Caenorhabditis elegans: one gene and its partner. The protein of the gene in region 1 purifies or fractionates together with the protein of each later gene. This does not show direct contact. Each region holds a gene or a part of one and is shown in the gene's direction. Other genes may lie near its edges.

Region 1 (7,751 bases):
CTACAAAATATTCTTAATCCACTTGACTTGAATTTAAGTAGATTCCTCTGACGATTTTAAACAAATTTGTCTCTTGGACTAAGTTTCTAGGTCAACTTCTAACAGTTATAAGGGTTCAAAAAGTGGTTGAGGCTTACACTACAAACTACAAAATATTTCTAACTAAGCCACTAAATTTCTACTTCACTATGTTCCTCTACCGATTTTACATAAATTTGTTTCTTGAACCGAGTTTCTAGGCCGACTTCTAACAAAGTTACAGGCCCTCAAAGTTTGGTAGAGGCTCACACTACAAACTACAGAATTTTTAGCCTCAACCAAATTTCAAATCGCTGTAACTTTGCTCATAGTGGAGCAAAACCAATGCTTCAACAGGCAAAATAGGTCCGAAAAGAAAGATAAATTGATAAAATAGTTATTTTTACAAAATTTTGTAGCTGTAGTCTGAGCCTCACCAATTTTAAATTATTAATATCTTTGGCCAAAACCACTCAAATTAGCCGAGAAAAGTCAGTTTTTTGGTCATTTTTATCGCAATATGGTACGTACTGTACTTGAACTTCAGAAATTGCCCATTAAGCAAATACGGTTCAATTACCATTTTAATGTATTTCTCTCCAGAACCACCTTCCCTCCTTTTCCTCCTCCCATCAATCAAATAGACGGTCATTTCCCGAAGAAATTCCTCAAATATTACCCTTTTGAGTGATTTTTTAACTGGAATTGGAAATTCTCATGTATTAATTGTCACTGGAAACTGGTTTTTTAGATTTTTTTTCCAGATTCAAGAATGTTATTCGTGTTGCAACTATGTATGTCTTAATGGAATTTTTGAGTCTGAATATTTGTTGAGGCTGAGAATATTGTAGTTTGTAGTTATCAGAAAACGACATCAAAAATTTGGTGGGAAATTCAAATTTTCTGAGAACAATTTTTGGCGGGAAACTCAAAATTTTTTTTCTTTAATTTCAAATATTCGTAACTAGCTTCAAATTTAACCAAATTGGATGGTTCCAAAAAGAGAATTAACTAGAATTTGAAGGAGATTTCAATCAAATTGTTTTTAAAACAATATAACTGCTCCCAGAGCAACTAGATGAGTTGAGGTTTCAGAGCTCAAAAGATGAAATCTAATTGTTTAAATGTGGGCCCTATCAGACCAGGTGTGGGCGGTAAACGATTTTTCCGGAAAAACAGCAAGTTACCGGAATTGAAAATTTTTATCAAATCAGTAAACCGGCAAATTGCCGATTTGCCGAACTTGCCGACAATTTTTGGCAATTTGTGGTTTTCCAATTTTTTTTTTTGGAAATTTCAGAATTTCAATTTTAATTTGCAAAATTTCGCGCATCCTATTTTTGAAAAGTAAGCATGTTCTTTGAAAATATCTCAAGAAAACGAGATAATTTTTAAAAAGGCACATTTTTAATTAAAACTTAAGTGTTTCTTTAAAAAATTCCTCTGAACATTTCCGGCAAATTCGATATCCGGCAAACTGAAAATTGGCAGTTCGCTGGAAATAAAAATTTCTGGCAAATCGGCAAACCGGAAATTTGCCGATTTGTCGACGAAAAAATTTGCCGAACGGCAATTGCCGCCCATTCCTGTATCCGACTAAAAAAGAAAACGTAATATTAGTTTATTTTGTAAATTGGAATTAACTATTAAACCTATATTTTAAAAGAAAACTTGTTTTTTCCGGATAAAATATCCAGTTTCCACCTGTTTATTTACTTTTAACCTACCTTCTTCATCCGTTTACCTAAACTATATAGTTAACCCAGTTGACACGTTTCATTTGTCATTTAGACCACTGTTTCTATATAAAAACCGAAAAATGTTTATTTTTCCAGCAATAAACCTAAATGTTGCGTGGGTGGTGGATATTCATTTGGGCGGCTGTCTGCGTCTATGCACAGAATACACTCTCACAACAGTCACAGCAACAACAGCAACCAACGTCTGCAAATATTAGCAGTTCTAATATTCAGGTAAGGGGAGAAACAAAAAAATGAAAAAACAATTTTTTTGGGGTTTTTTAATTTAATTTTCCAACTTTTTCCAAAAATTTTGAAAAGAAAATTCCTGGCAACACCTTAAATAAGTTAAATTTTTCATTTTTCTTAAGGATTTGAATTTCAAAATTAGCCTAAAGTCTTGAAAACCAAATGTTTGGCCAATTTTTAGATTAAAAATTTTTTCGATTTTTCGAAAAAATGTTTGAATTTTTACACTCAAAATATTCACTTTCTAACATTAAAATTTTTAGAACTCCCTAGATTAATATTGTAGTTTGTAGTCTAATCCTCAACTAATGTTTCTATATTCTAGCAAACAATATATGATGTCATCGTTGTCGGAGCAGGACTTACCGGGCTCACAGCAGCCCGGAACATCCAGCAAAATCGACCAGGACTATCCGTATTAGTACTGGAAGCACGTGGTCAAGTTGGTGGCAGAATTCGATATGCTACAATGCAGACAAGAAATGGTGTTGAATTCGTAGATACAGGTACGTTGAATCTTGAAAATTATCGATTTTTAAAGATTTTCATTACGAAATTCGAAATCACCAATGTTTTCTTCCTACATGCCGACTCTTTTTACAAAAATTTGAAGAATAGTGCATTTTGTCGTCAGATCCGGTGCATTTTTGATATCTACAGTACCCCAGATAATGCAAAATTGCTTCATTTTCAGGATCTCAGTTCATTTCTCCAACGGACACCCAATTATTAAGTCTAATTCAAGAATTGAATGTTCGTACAACACAACAGTTGACATGTGGTAATAATACAGTATTCCAGCAAACAAGGAAGAAGAGGTACAGTTTTGACACAAGTGACTGAAATTTTATCCGGTTTTGAGATCCATAGGAGCTTTTTTTTTTTAATTTAACAATACTCTCTGAAAATTCCAGACAACTATCCCTCCAACAGCAATGGAGTACAACCCTCTTCACAGATCTTATCAATTCGCCAGAAACTCTCGGAAATCTTACAAATACTTCAGTTTCAGCAATGTCTCAGCAAATGGACACTGCTGACGCAGATTCGGTGAACCGAATGATGCAGGTTAGTGTACCACGTTCTTTAATATTGACCAATCTTAAAATTCCGCCAAACCCATATTTCCCCTCATTTTCAGACATTTTTCGATGCTCCCGGAGAACAAGTTCCAGAAATTCAGCTGGCCCTGACGTGTTCCAGTCAAAATGCGACAGCCGTTGAAATTCTCCGGAGATTTGGTCATGGGCAGAGTCTTTTGGCACAAGGTGGAATGAATGAAGTCGTGAGAAGGCTTGCTGATGGATTATTGATTGAATATAGTCAACGTGTCGTTTCGGTTAATGATGGTACTGTAGACTACAAACTACAAACTACAAAAACCAGAAAACAAGCATTGAATTATTTTTTCTGATTTCCAAAAAAAAAAATTTGAAAAAAAATCTCTAAAATTTGAAAATTCAAATTTTTTCTAAAATTTCATTATTTTCTAAAAACATCATTTCATTATTTTTCCTATTTTTTACTCAAATTATCCTAATTTCCAGCCGCCTTCCCAGCTGTGGTCCAAACATCTGCCGGCCGAAGGTTCAGTGGCCGTCAAGTGATTGTAGCTGTGCCAATTCCGACACTGGAAAATATTGAGCTGGTACCAGCACCAGAAGCTCCCTTTCAGCAGCTTATTCGTGAGTTTTTGGAAAAATTGAAGTAGAGAAAAAAAATGTTTGAACTTTTTTTGTTTTAATTTCCGAAAATGAAACCGCATAAAAACCACTCAAAAACAACGTTTGTTTACCTTAGAGTTTTGGTCACTACAAACTACAAACTAGACTACAAACTACAAATATTTAGCCTTAACGAACTTAAAAACATTTTTCCACAATGACATCAAATTCTAATCAAATTGCACTGAAACATTTAAACTTTCATCCAAACATTAAAAAAACTTCGGTCTACGAATTCTAAGACTACAAACTACAAAAATTTCCAGAAAACTACGGTCCAACAGGCCACGCCTACTACTTCACAATGTCATTCCAACGTGCCACGTGGCGGCTAAATGGGCGGAGCGGAAAAGTGATCTACACGTCGGCGACTGGTCCATTGGTATGGCTGACCACATTTGATACCACTTTTGCGGCGAGTTGTGGTGGGTTTTTCCAGACTTTTGTAAATTTAAAATGTTTAAACTATTAATCTTAAGAAGTTTCTGTAGTGAATTTTGGTTTTTGAACCATGAAAATTGGTCCAGTTTGAACAAAGTTATGGTGCACCGAAAGTTGGTGAATCTCAAAGGTTTATACTACAAACTATAAACTACAATCCTAATAGCGCCTCAACCATTTTTAAAACTACAAACTACAGAATGATGGTTGAAGCTCAGCTAGGATTATATTATAGTTTGTAGTTTGCAGTCTGAGCCTCAACCAATCTTCGATGCACCGTAACTTCGCTCCAAATGAACCGATTTTAACTTTTCAAAAACTAAGCATTATCAGAAAAACTCCGAAAATTCAAAAAATTTTCAGACAACTCCACATCAGCGTCATCAACACTTTGGGGTATCGCCCATTTCTCCTACGATGTTCCGTTCGAGACCCGCCGCAAATTGTACACTCAGGCGATTATGTACTCGCTGAGATTTGCTGATTTTTCGCCATTGGATGTTAGGTAAGATGTTTGGGAAAATTTGAAAAACTGTTAAAAACTTTTGAAACTATCAAATTCGAAATCGGGAAACGACTACAATATGTAGGTTAGTAGCTAGTAGTTTGTAGTTTGTAGTTTGTAGTTCACAGTATCGCAGAACCCACCAAAAATCTTTTAAAAATCAATTTTTGCAGTGACGTCAACTTTGCCACGGACGACTTGGCGAAAGGAACAATTCCAACATTGAAGCTTAATATTCCATTAGAATCCCTGAAATATCTCAACGATTTCCATACTTTGTACCAAAATGTACATATTGCTACTGCGGATATTGCCTCGCACAATTTGGGTGGGTCAGAATTTTAATTTTTGAAAAAACTGAAGATTATATTGAAATCTAGGTTCTTCAATTTTCCCTCAATATTTTGGTTTTTGAACGGTAAAAAATCGATCATTTTGAAGAAAGTTATGGTGCATAAAAAATTGGTTGAGCCTCACACTACAAACTACAGAACTTTCAGCCTCAACCAAACTTTAACAGACTGTAACTTTGTTCAAAGGCAATTTCGCAGTAGCTTTTTTAGATTTTTCATCGAATTTTGCAATTTAAAATTACATTTAAAATTTTCAGGTACCATGAACGGAGCCGTACACGCAGCTGGCTCTGTGAGCACATATGTGCTCCAAATGCTCTCAGCAGCAGATGCTCAAAGTAACGGAGTCCTTAGGGATACACCAGTCGAGTCGACAACTCCATACGTCTACAGTACCTCCTCACACTACCCACCATCGCTTTTCGCGGCTCGAAATGTGCAAAATGACTCTGGAAATAGAAATACCACTGGAAACAATTCTGTGAACTCTGGAAATACTGGAAATCAAACAAATTTCCAATATGAAACTAGTTCACAGTACCCGACTACTGTAGAAACACCAACAACTACTACTATGAAACATTTCAGTTTTGGAAATTTGGGTTAGTTGATTCATAAACTACAAACTACAAACTAAAATGTACCCTGAGCCTCACAATATATTGGAAAGCATTTTTGGATAATTTGTACAACTATGCGTTTTGTTTAAATCAAATTGACACATTTTTTGCATAGTTACACATATGTATTCAAATATAGTGGCGTAGACTACAAACTACAAAAGGTGGTTGAGGCTGGACGGCTCTTTAGTTTGTAGTCTGAGTCTGAACCAAGCTGAAACCAGGTTTAAGCCTAATTAAATTTTCCAGACAACTCCACAAATGAAGAACCGGCTGCCGTGGCCTACGACAGCCCACAACAGGATGCCCCACCAACATTGGTAAGGCGTTATCTCAGCAGATATAACAGATACGAAAAAATGGTCTACTAACAAAATGTTGTACATAAAATTTCCTACATTTTGTTAGTTGACAACTTTTTGGCATATTAAACAGTGAAAAAGGTATACGCGTTTCCAATTTGTAACTTTAAATTTTTTAAATCCTTTATATCTCGGCGGAAACTCAATGTTACTGAAATTTTTAATTAACAATATAATTCCCATTAAATTTCCTATATTTTACTAGTTGACAACTTTTCCCTACCTCTTACCACTAAAAAGTTACAAGACTTTCAAATTTCCGCCAATGCAACCACGCCCCAACGCACACAATTTCAGAACTATTCAACGACATTTGCGTATTCCACTTCAAGTGTAATGCCACTAGTCGAGACGATCGAAACGACAACTTTTAAACATTTTAGTAACGGAAATTTAGATCAAAATGCCACGTCAGCTGTTCAACGAGGTTTTTGAATTTTTTGAATTTGGCGCCAAATTTGAAACTATCCAGATGTGCCAGCAGTTCTCGTAAATCAACAGCAGAATGGTTACGCCTACACGACATCAACTCATTATCCAGTACAATTATCTTCAAATCGAAATAGTCAGTTATTATACATTTGCCAAAATTTTGAAAAGTTTAAAGCTAGAGGAAAGTGCGCTCTAATGAGAATTGTCATTTTGCAAGTTTACATCACAAATAAATTGGAAAAATGCAGAAATTTTAAATTTTAAAGATTATTACACGTTCGTGAGAAACTTATAAAAAAATTATCAATAGAGCTAATTTATACACCCAAAAATCGATAATTTACAGGAATCGACTCACGAGCAACCCCATCTCCACAAGTTGTGCAGGAGTTGCAACAAGTTTCAGCAAATGTAAGATTTTCAGAAAAATATAAAAAAATCGATAATTAAAGTATCGATTTTCTAGAATTTTACTGATTTTTGAATAAAATCGATAATTCAACCACATGATCAATTATCGATTTTTTTCAGGCTTCCAACTCGACGGCTCTCCAATTGGCGTCAAGTCTGACGCAATTGGTGCAAACACTCTTACAGACTTTGCGTCTACAGTAACACCTGCACATCTAACTTTTTTCCTGAATTTTTAAATTTTCCCGCCAAAATACGTGTCGTTTTGAAAGCTTTTCGGTTTGCACCGCCCTTCTCTTGTTCTTCGATATTTTCAAAAAAGATTTGAAAATGTTTCGGAAATTGTAAAAATCAATAAATATTGTTTTGCTTTTTCAATTCGTTTTTCTGGACAATTTTTCATTTAGAAAAAAAGCTTAAATTGAAGAATTCAACAACAAAACAATAGTGAAAATTAACAAATTTGGATCAGAAAAATCAATGAAACAATTCAAGTCTTTTGAAGACCCAGTGACTTTTCCAAGAGCTCCGCCATTACAGAATGATCCATTTCTTTTATGTCCTTTGGCAAAACGGAACGAATATCAGCAACTGATTTGACCTCGGAAAGGCATTTACTCTGAAAATTTTCAGTATACAAAACATTTTAGCACAGAATCGAGCAAAACCTTGAGATTCTCCAAATTATACTTCAAAGACATTTGCAGCTTCTTCTCAGGTGAAAATTCCGATTTTTGGAGCAGAAAGTCTTCACCTTTACGAATAACCGTGGAAACATCAAATCTGGCAGCAATTTGTAGGATTCCCTCGACACTGTCCTCTGAAATAATATTTTTGTAGTAAAGGCTTCAAATTTTTCAGAAACCTACCAGTCAGCGCTGGTTCACCGTAGAGAAG
Region 2 (6,693 bases), on another chromosome or scaffold:
TTCTATTACTTCATCGAAGACTAATTCATTACAAAATATCCGGATATCTCTTTTTTTTTTGAATAGGGAGCCCTCCCTCTGTGTTTATCTAATCTGCCACTTGTTTTTCCACTCTTCCGTCTCCTCTTCTTCTCCTAGTGTCCCTTTGAGACTTTTGGCGGTTACTGATACTACAACTAATACCCCCTACCAACAACTAGCCAGTATTTGATAACAAAAACAGCTATATATAATTTTTGAGATTTCTAGATTTTTTCTATCTATACAAAAATAATTTTAATTCCCAGTTGGGGTATATTTTGATGGCTTGACGTTACGGTGCCAGCCTACGGTTGGAAATAGGGGTGTGCGGCAAATCTCAAAATTGCCAAGTTCGGCAAATTTGGCATATTTGCCGAGCTCATCAAACCCCGAAAAGCATAAAATTAAAAAGAACTCAATTTTATGTTACTTTACTATAATTTTTGAACAAAATCATTAGCTTCGGTCAATTTTAAAAAAATCCAATTTGTGGTGTGTGCAGCAAATTTGGCCCCGCCACTTTTTGGAAGTTTGCCATGCTTGGCAAATTTGGAAAACCCAACAAATTCGCTGCATACACCTGGTTAAAAAGCGCCTATTCCCGTTCATTACTCGCCCGTTTGGCGCCCTATCCCGATGATTTGTTCTCATGGAAATTGATTACTAAATACTGATTGAATTTTTTCCTTTTTTATAGGACGCACACCCGTAGGGATTCTTCAAAAAAATTTAGAGTTTTCACCTCAAAAAAATTACTATTCAAATTTTATCTCGAATACCTGAAACTGCATAAAAAATTTTTGTAACGTGACAACACTAATTGCTCTTTAAAATATCTCAATTTTACGAGAGCTTCGTTAGACTTACTACTGGCTCAGACATTTCCTGATTGCAGCTGACTTCCAGATCAGAAGTGCACTAGGAATGTCTTTTAACTCTTTAATCCTATCCTAATCCGCTTAAGCTTCCACCTAAATCATCCCGAACATAAAATTCGTTCTTTCCATTCCCCCTCCTTTCCCAAGTCAGTACCTAAACCCTTCCCCCGAAAAAAATTCGACTACCCGTCTCACCCCATAACTCGATTTGGACGGGTGGGGTAGGCTCGGGGGCTCCGAGCTTTTACATATTTTTCTTTTTTTTTTCTGCTTCTATCTTTTTCTCTGCGTCTCGTCTCTCTTGTTCTTCGTGAGAAGCAAGAGAGAAAGAAAAACTGCATTTTTATGATTGTTGTTCAATTTTTTTTCTCTCTTTTCCCTTCCCTTCTCTTCATTTTTCTTTCAGATTTAGTAATTTTTTCGCTTTTATTTTTCAAAACAATATTAGAATACTTTGCCGCTCTACTTTTTGAGTCATTGCTAGAAAAAGGGGACCTTGATGGCTTTGACATCTAATATCTTGGCTGCTTTCAGTTTTAGGAAAACATTTTTAACTACAAAACTGTTGAACACAATTGTTTCTATATTTTTGTAGTTTAAAAAATTGTTCTGTCGCTGAAAATAACCGAGCTACAAGCCGATAAAGGTTATTTTCAATTAGCGCAACTATGTATGTTTGGCTTTCAGAATTTTACTCGTTTCCTGACAAATTATTACTCGTTCTTTAAAAACCAAATCTCTAATCAATTCGATTTTGCAGAACAAAAATGGCAGACTTGGAAGCAGTGCTGGCTGACGTCAGCTACCTGATGGCAATGGAGAAGAGCCGAAGTCAGCCGGCGGCTCGTGCCAGCAAACGCATAGTTCTGCCAGACCCGAGTGTGCGGAGTATAATGCAAAAATTTCTGGAAAAGTCGGGTGATATGAAGTTTGATAAGATCTTCAATCAAAAGCTCGGTTTCTTGTTGTTAAAAGATTACGCGGAAAATGTCTCCGAGAGTCCGTGTCCTCAAATTAAATTCTACGAGGCGGTGAGTATCAGAGTTACCAAAATATATCTCTGATCTCAACAAAGTTTCAGATCAAAGAATACGAGAAAATGGAGACACCAGATGAGCGATTAACAAAAGCACGAGAAATTTATGATCATCATATAATGGTTGAAATGCTCGCACATGCTCACGTAAGACTCAGTCACTTTAATTCTTCAACAAATCGCAAACTATTTCAGAACTACTCAAAAGAATCATTACAACATGTACAATATCATCTTCTTAAACAAAATGTGCCTCCAGATCTTTTTCACCGATATGTTTTGGAGATTTGCGATCAGCTTCGTGGAGATATTTTTCAACGATTTCTCGAGTCGGACAAGTTCACCAGATTCTGTCAGTGGAAAAACTTGGAGTTGAATATGCAGCTGACAATGAACGACTTCTCAGTACATCGAATTATCGGTCGAGGTGGCTTTGGAGAAGTCTACGGGTGTCGTAAAGCTGACACGGGAAAGATGTGAGTGGTGAATATGCAAGCCTGCTCCTAAAAAGAAAATGTTATGCCAGAAGTTCAAAACCAGGTCTAGAAAAACTAGGTTACCCTGGAGTACCAAAGATACACGTGATGCCAGGTTGTCCCATCACGGTTTGATCTCCAAAAAATGCGGGAATTTTCGCCAAAAATATGTGACGGTAGCACGGTCTTAAGCATAAAAAATAAGTTGAGAACTCTGCGTCTCTTATCCCGCATTTTTTGTAGATCTACGTAGATCAAGCCGAAATAAGACACTCTGACATTACGGGAAGAAATTATCAATATTACTGGACTTGATTAGAATTTCATATTCCAGGTACGCGATGAAATGTCTTGACAAAAAGCGAATCAAGATGAAACAAGGAGAAACGCTGGCACTAAACGAGAGAATCATGTTGAGCCTCGTCTCCACTGGACAAGATTGCCCATTCATCGTGTGTATGACATACGCATTTCAATCACCCGACAAACTGTGTTTCATCCTTGATTTGATGAACGGTGGTGACCTTCATTATCATTTATCACAACACGGAGTATTTACGGAGCAAGAGATGATATTTTATGCGTCAGAAGTTATACTTGGACTGGAACATATGCATAATCGATTTGTAGTTTATCGAGATTTAAAGCCTGCCAATATTTTGTTGGATGAGAATGGTCATGTGAGGGTTTCCGATTTGGGTCTCGCGTGTGATTATTCAAAAAAGAAGCCGCATGCTAGTGTGTAAGTTGTTTTCTTTCAAACCTGAACACATAGAAAATCTCAGACTTATAAGCGCTATTGGGAAGATTATACCTTGTATCAAACACATATTTTGACTCTTGAGGTTTTGCTAAGGAAAAAAAGGCAAAGGCGTTGCTAGAAATTTTAAAACTATTTTTGAGCCCTATAATTATGCCCTATTATTATAATTATAAGTCAGGGCTCCCAGCTGAGTGAGGAGCAAAATGCGGGTCCCACACCGGCGCCGTTACCCGCTGTATGTGTAATGAAGTGGGAAAAGGTAGTTACCTGAAAGCGACTGACACGTTCGGGCCCTCATTGGAGCCCTACTATCAGTATTTCAAAAAGTTTGCCTGTTTTCAAGACAGAAAATGAGGATCTAATCAAACTTTTAAACTTTTAAATAAATTCGACCAGTCACCTAATTGTTTCAATTTCAGCGGAACCCACGGCTACATGGCACCCGAAGTACTGGCCAAAGGCGTTGCCTACGACTCGTCAGCCGACTGGTTCTCGTTAGGATGTATGCTGTATAAACTTCTAAAGGGACACTCACCATTTCGTCAACATAAGAGCAAAGATAAGAACGAGATTGACAAAATGACATTAACACAAGATATTGAACTGCCGAATGAAGGATTGTCAAAAGACTGTCGAGATCTTCTGGAGGGACTTTTGAAACGAGACGTTCCGGATAGATTGGGGTGTCGCGGGAAAGGGCCGACGGAGGTTAAGGAGCATCCATTTTTCAAAGATGTCGATTGGCAAACTGTGTATTTGAGGTGAGTTTATATATTTAATAGAACCAAATTACTCAAAGTACAAAAATTAATATTTTTTGTCGTTAGCCACATAGATGTAAATTGAAAAGAGCATTCGAAGCCATACAGATCCGTTATAAATTTTATCGTCCTGTGCTGGTATTTCTTACAAACCACATTGTGGAAATTGTAATACAGTCCAAAACGGAAATTTAAGGTGAATAATTTTTAAGCCATTAATGTTGCAACAATTTTGTAAAATTTCAAGAAACTCACCAATCAGCAATTTTCCAGACGAATGACACCACCACTAATCCCACCACGTGGAGAAGTCAACGCTGCGGATGCATTTGACATTGGAAACTTTGACGATGATGAAGTGAAAGGTGTCAAGTTGCAAGACGGGGATTCAGATTTGTACAAAAACTTCAATATTGTGATATCTGAACGGTGGCAGAATGAAATCGCGGAGACAATATTTGAGGTAGTGAATCAGGATGCGGATAAGGCGGAGAGTAAGAAGCGGTCAAAACAGAAGATCAAGGTGGCAGTTGAGGAGAAAGGTAAGTAGAAAAAGATCCCCAGGCAAATCTGCATAATATTTGATTCCAGATTCCGATGTTATAGTCCACGGGTATATCAAGAAGCTCGGCGGCCCGTTCACCTCGGCTTGGCAAACCAAATACGGCAAGCTCTATCCATCTCGACTGGAACTTTATCCGGAATCATTAACTGCTAAGCCAGAGGTACGTTTGATTTGAAAACTGAGTAAATATAAAAATGACACATTTCAGTTAGTATTTATGGATCAAATCGAAGATGTGTGCGCCGAAATGCAGACCATCAAGGGAGAGACGGCAATCATTGTGAAGTTACGAGATGGGTTCAAAGAGCCTAAGATTTGCTTAACAAACTCGGTTAGTGAAAATGTTTTAAAGTATAAGACTGAAAAAAAAAACTGTCGGTCTGTCTATCTTGTAGTTTTTGAATTCTGTGGCATTTATTGAAGCGTGCCTTGCACTCTCCGCTGGTATTAATTTCTGCGGAATAAAAATTGCTATTATAAAATTAAACTTGGCTAAAAACTCTAAATTCAAGTATTCAAAAAACCGTTGCGGAAAAATTCTAAATTTATTTTTTTTATTTCTTGTAGAAATTTTTTCCTACAAAAAATTGCGGCAGAAAATTTAAAATTTAAAATTGAGTTTTTCAAAAATTTCTGCAGAAAATTCAAATCTTTATTCTTTCAAAAATACTGACGAGAACACATTTTAAACTTACAATTTTTTAGGAACAAAATTGACGCAAAATTCAAGTTCTGATTTTGATCAAATCAAAATTCTTGCAGAGAAATTTTCTTGTTTAAACTAATTCAAAATTTTAAACTTTGGGGTGCAATTCAAATTTGAACTTTTATAGGAGTGTCATCGTTATCAGATTTTTTCAAAATCTTGAATTTCAAAATTCCAGGACGAAATCTCTTTGAAAGAATGGCACACATCCCTCCGCACGGCTCACAAAGTCTCCCAGGAACTTTTGCAACGAATGGGCCGAAAAGCAATCAAAATCTATGGAGTCAATCATGACCCAATGTTATCTGAAAGTGAACGACCTGGTTCTGTGACAAGAGCCTTTCTGAATAGGGCTAGCAGTGTTGATTCTGGTGTTTAACTTGAAGAAAAAAAATTTTCCAAAATTTTATTTTTGGAAAAAAATCCCCCAAGCATTCCTCTATCTACGGTACCTTTTGTCTTGTGATCTCCTCGATTTTCACACATTTTCCTATAGTTTTTTTTGGGATAATTATTTTAGAACACTTATGTGCTCTTTTTCCGTGCACACATGATAAAAACCGCCGAAAAATGTATATTTTGAATTTTTTCATCAAATGCAGCTTACTACAGAGAGCTTACTATTAGCAGTACTTATGCCAATCTTGGGTCCCGCCACGAAAACAGATTAATGTACTTTTTGCGTGAAATCCATGAGTTCTACTTTGTTTTAGAATAATTATCCTAAAAAACTATAGCTTATCTTTAAAATTAAATTTATACATTCCTTCCACTCCCCCATCCATCCCTGTAAAAAAACCTGTATCAGATGCACAATTTATCGATTTTCACTGTGTTTCTTTTTTCTGTTCTAAAGATTTTTTATTTCATTATTTTTAATGTAAAAACTTTCCTTTTAGAATCTTACACTTTTTACCAATTTTACATCCATTTTCAAAACATCTCAAAAACCCATTTTCAGATAAATAAATTAAAAATTTATTTTATGAAATGAAATGAAATGAAAGAAAAAAAACTAATACCCGTTGAAATGTTGACCGGATGTTAACAGGATATTCATTAGGCAGGAAGTCGGACCCGTGATCTTTCCAGTCAAGGTCATACCTCTTACCGGCTGAGCCACAGGGCGCAGTTAAGTGGAAGCATGGTACCCCCGTAGCCGGTAAGAAGCTCTCCCTGGACAAAATAGGTCGCAGGTTCGACCCCGACACAAAGAGTTTTCCTTTGCTACCGTTTAAACACTTTGTAGACCATTTTCATCTGCTCCTTCGTCCATTTTCCGTTCTTCTTCACATTTTTTCCTGAAGAATTCCATGAGTACTTTGATGTCAGGTGATCGAGGTACCATAGTTGGCCATACTCTTTCTAAACATTTTAAAGGGAATTTTAGTAAATATTTTTGAAATTCATACCACAATTTTCTCGTTCGGAGTACAAGTGACCCAAAATATATGACCGTGGAGGTCTGCTGCACAGAATGGATCGTA

What was found.
Region 2: the proteins of amx-2 (region 1) and grk-2 purify together in Caenorhabditis elegans (affinity purification with western blotting, with the first as the bait; one study listed by BioGRID). This does not show direct contact.

Annotation. Positions count from the first base shown.
Region 1 is NC_003279.8:12,759,063-12,766,813, reverse strand, and holds amx-2 (monoamine oxidase), read left to right. Parts: upstream 1-1,853; 5' UTR 1,854-1,865; coding exon 1,866-1,991; intron 1,992-2,331; coding exon 2,332-2,512; intron 2,513-2,700; coding exon 2,701-2,824; intron 2,825-2,920; coding exon 2,921-3,074; intron 3,075-3,147; coding exon 3,148-3,355; intron 3,356-3,553; coding exon 3,554-3,691; intron 3,692-3,996; coding exon 3,997-4,155; intron 4,156-4,534; coding exon 4,535-4,676; intron 4,677-4,849; coding exon 4,850-5,004; intron 5,005-5,286; coding exon 5,287-5,631; intron 5,632-5,898; coding exon 5,899-5,969; intron 5,970-6,308; coding exon 6,309-6,438; intron 6,439-6,483; coding exon 6,484-6,576; intron 6,577-6,789; coding exon 6,790-6,854; intron 6,855-6,974; coding exon 6,975-7,058; 3' UTR 7,059-7,227; downstream 7,228-7,751. Other genes in the region: bath-35 (BTB domain-containing protein), read right to left, coding at 7,345-7,473, 7,523-7,674, 7,724-7,751.
Region 2 is NC_003281.10:674,463-681,155, forward strand, and holds grk-2 (G protein-coupled receptor kinase 2), read left to right. Parts: upstream 1-1,659; 5' UTR 1,660-1,666; coding exon 1,667-1,930; intron 1,931-1,980; coding exon 1,981-2,082; intron 2,083-2,130; coding exon 2,131-2,411; intron 2,412-2,745; coding exon 2,746-3,153; intron 3,154-3,593; coding exon 3,594-3,935; intron 3,936-4,208; coding exon 4,209-4,477; intron 4,478-4,526; coding exon 4,527-4,660; intron 4,661-4,708; coding exon 4,709-4,831; intron 4,832-5,384; coding exon 5,385-5,585; 3' UTR 5,586-6,187; downstream 6,188-6,693. Other genes in the region: W02B3.4 (uncharacterized protein), read right to left, coding at 6,434-6,571, 6,619-6,693. UniProt on the Caenorhabditis elegans protein: Specifically phosphorylates the activated forms of G protein-coupled receptors. Required in adult sensory neurons for chemotaxis.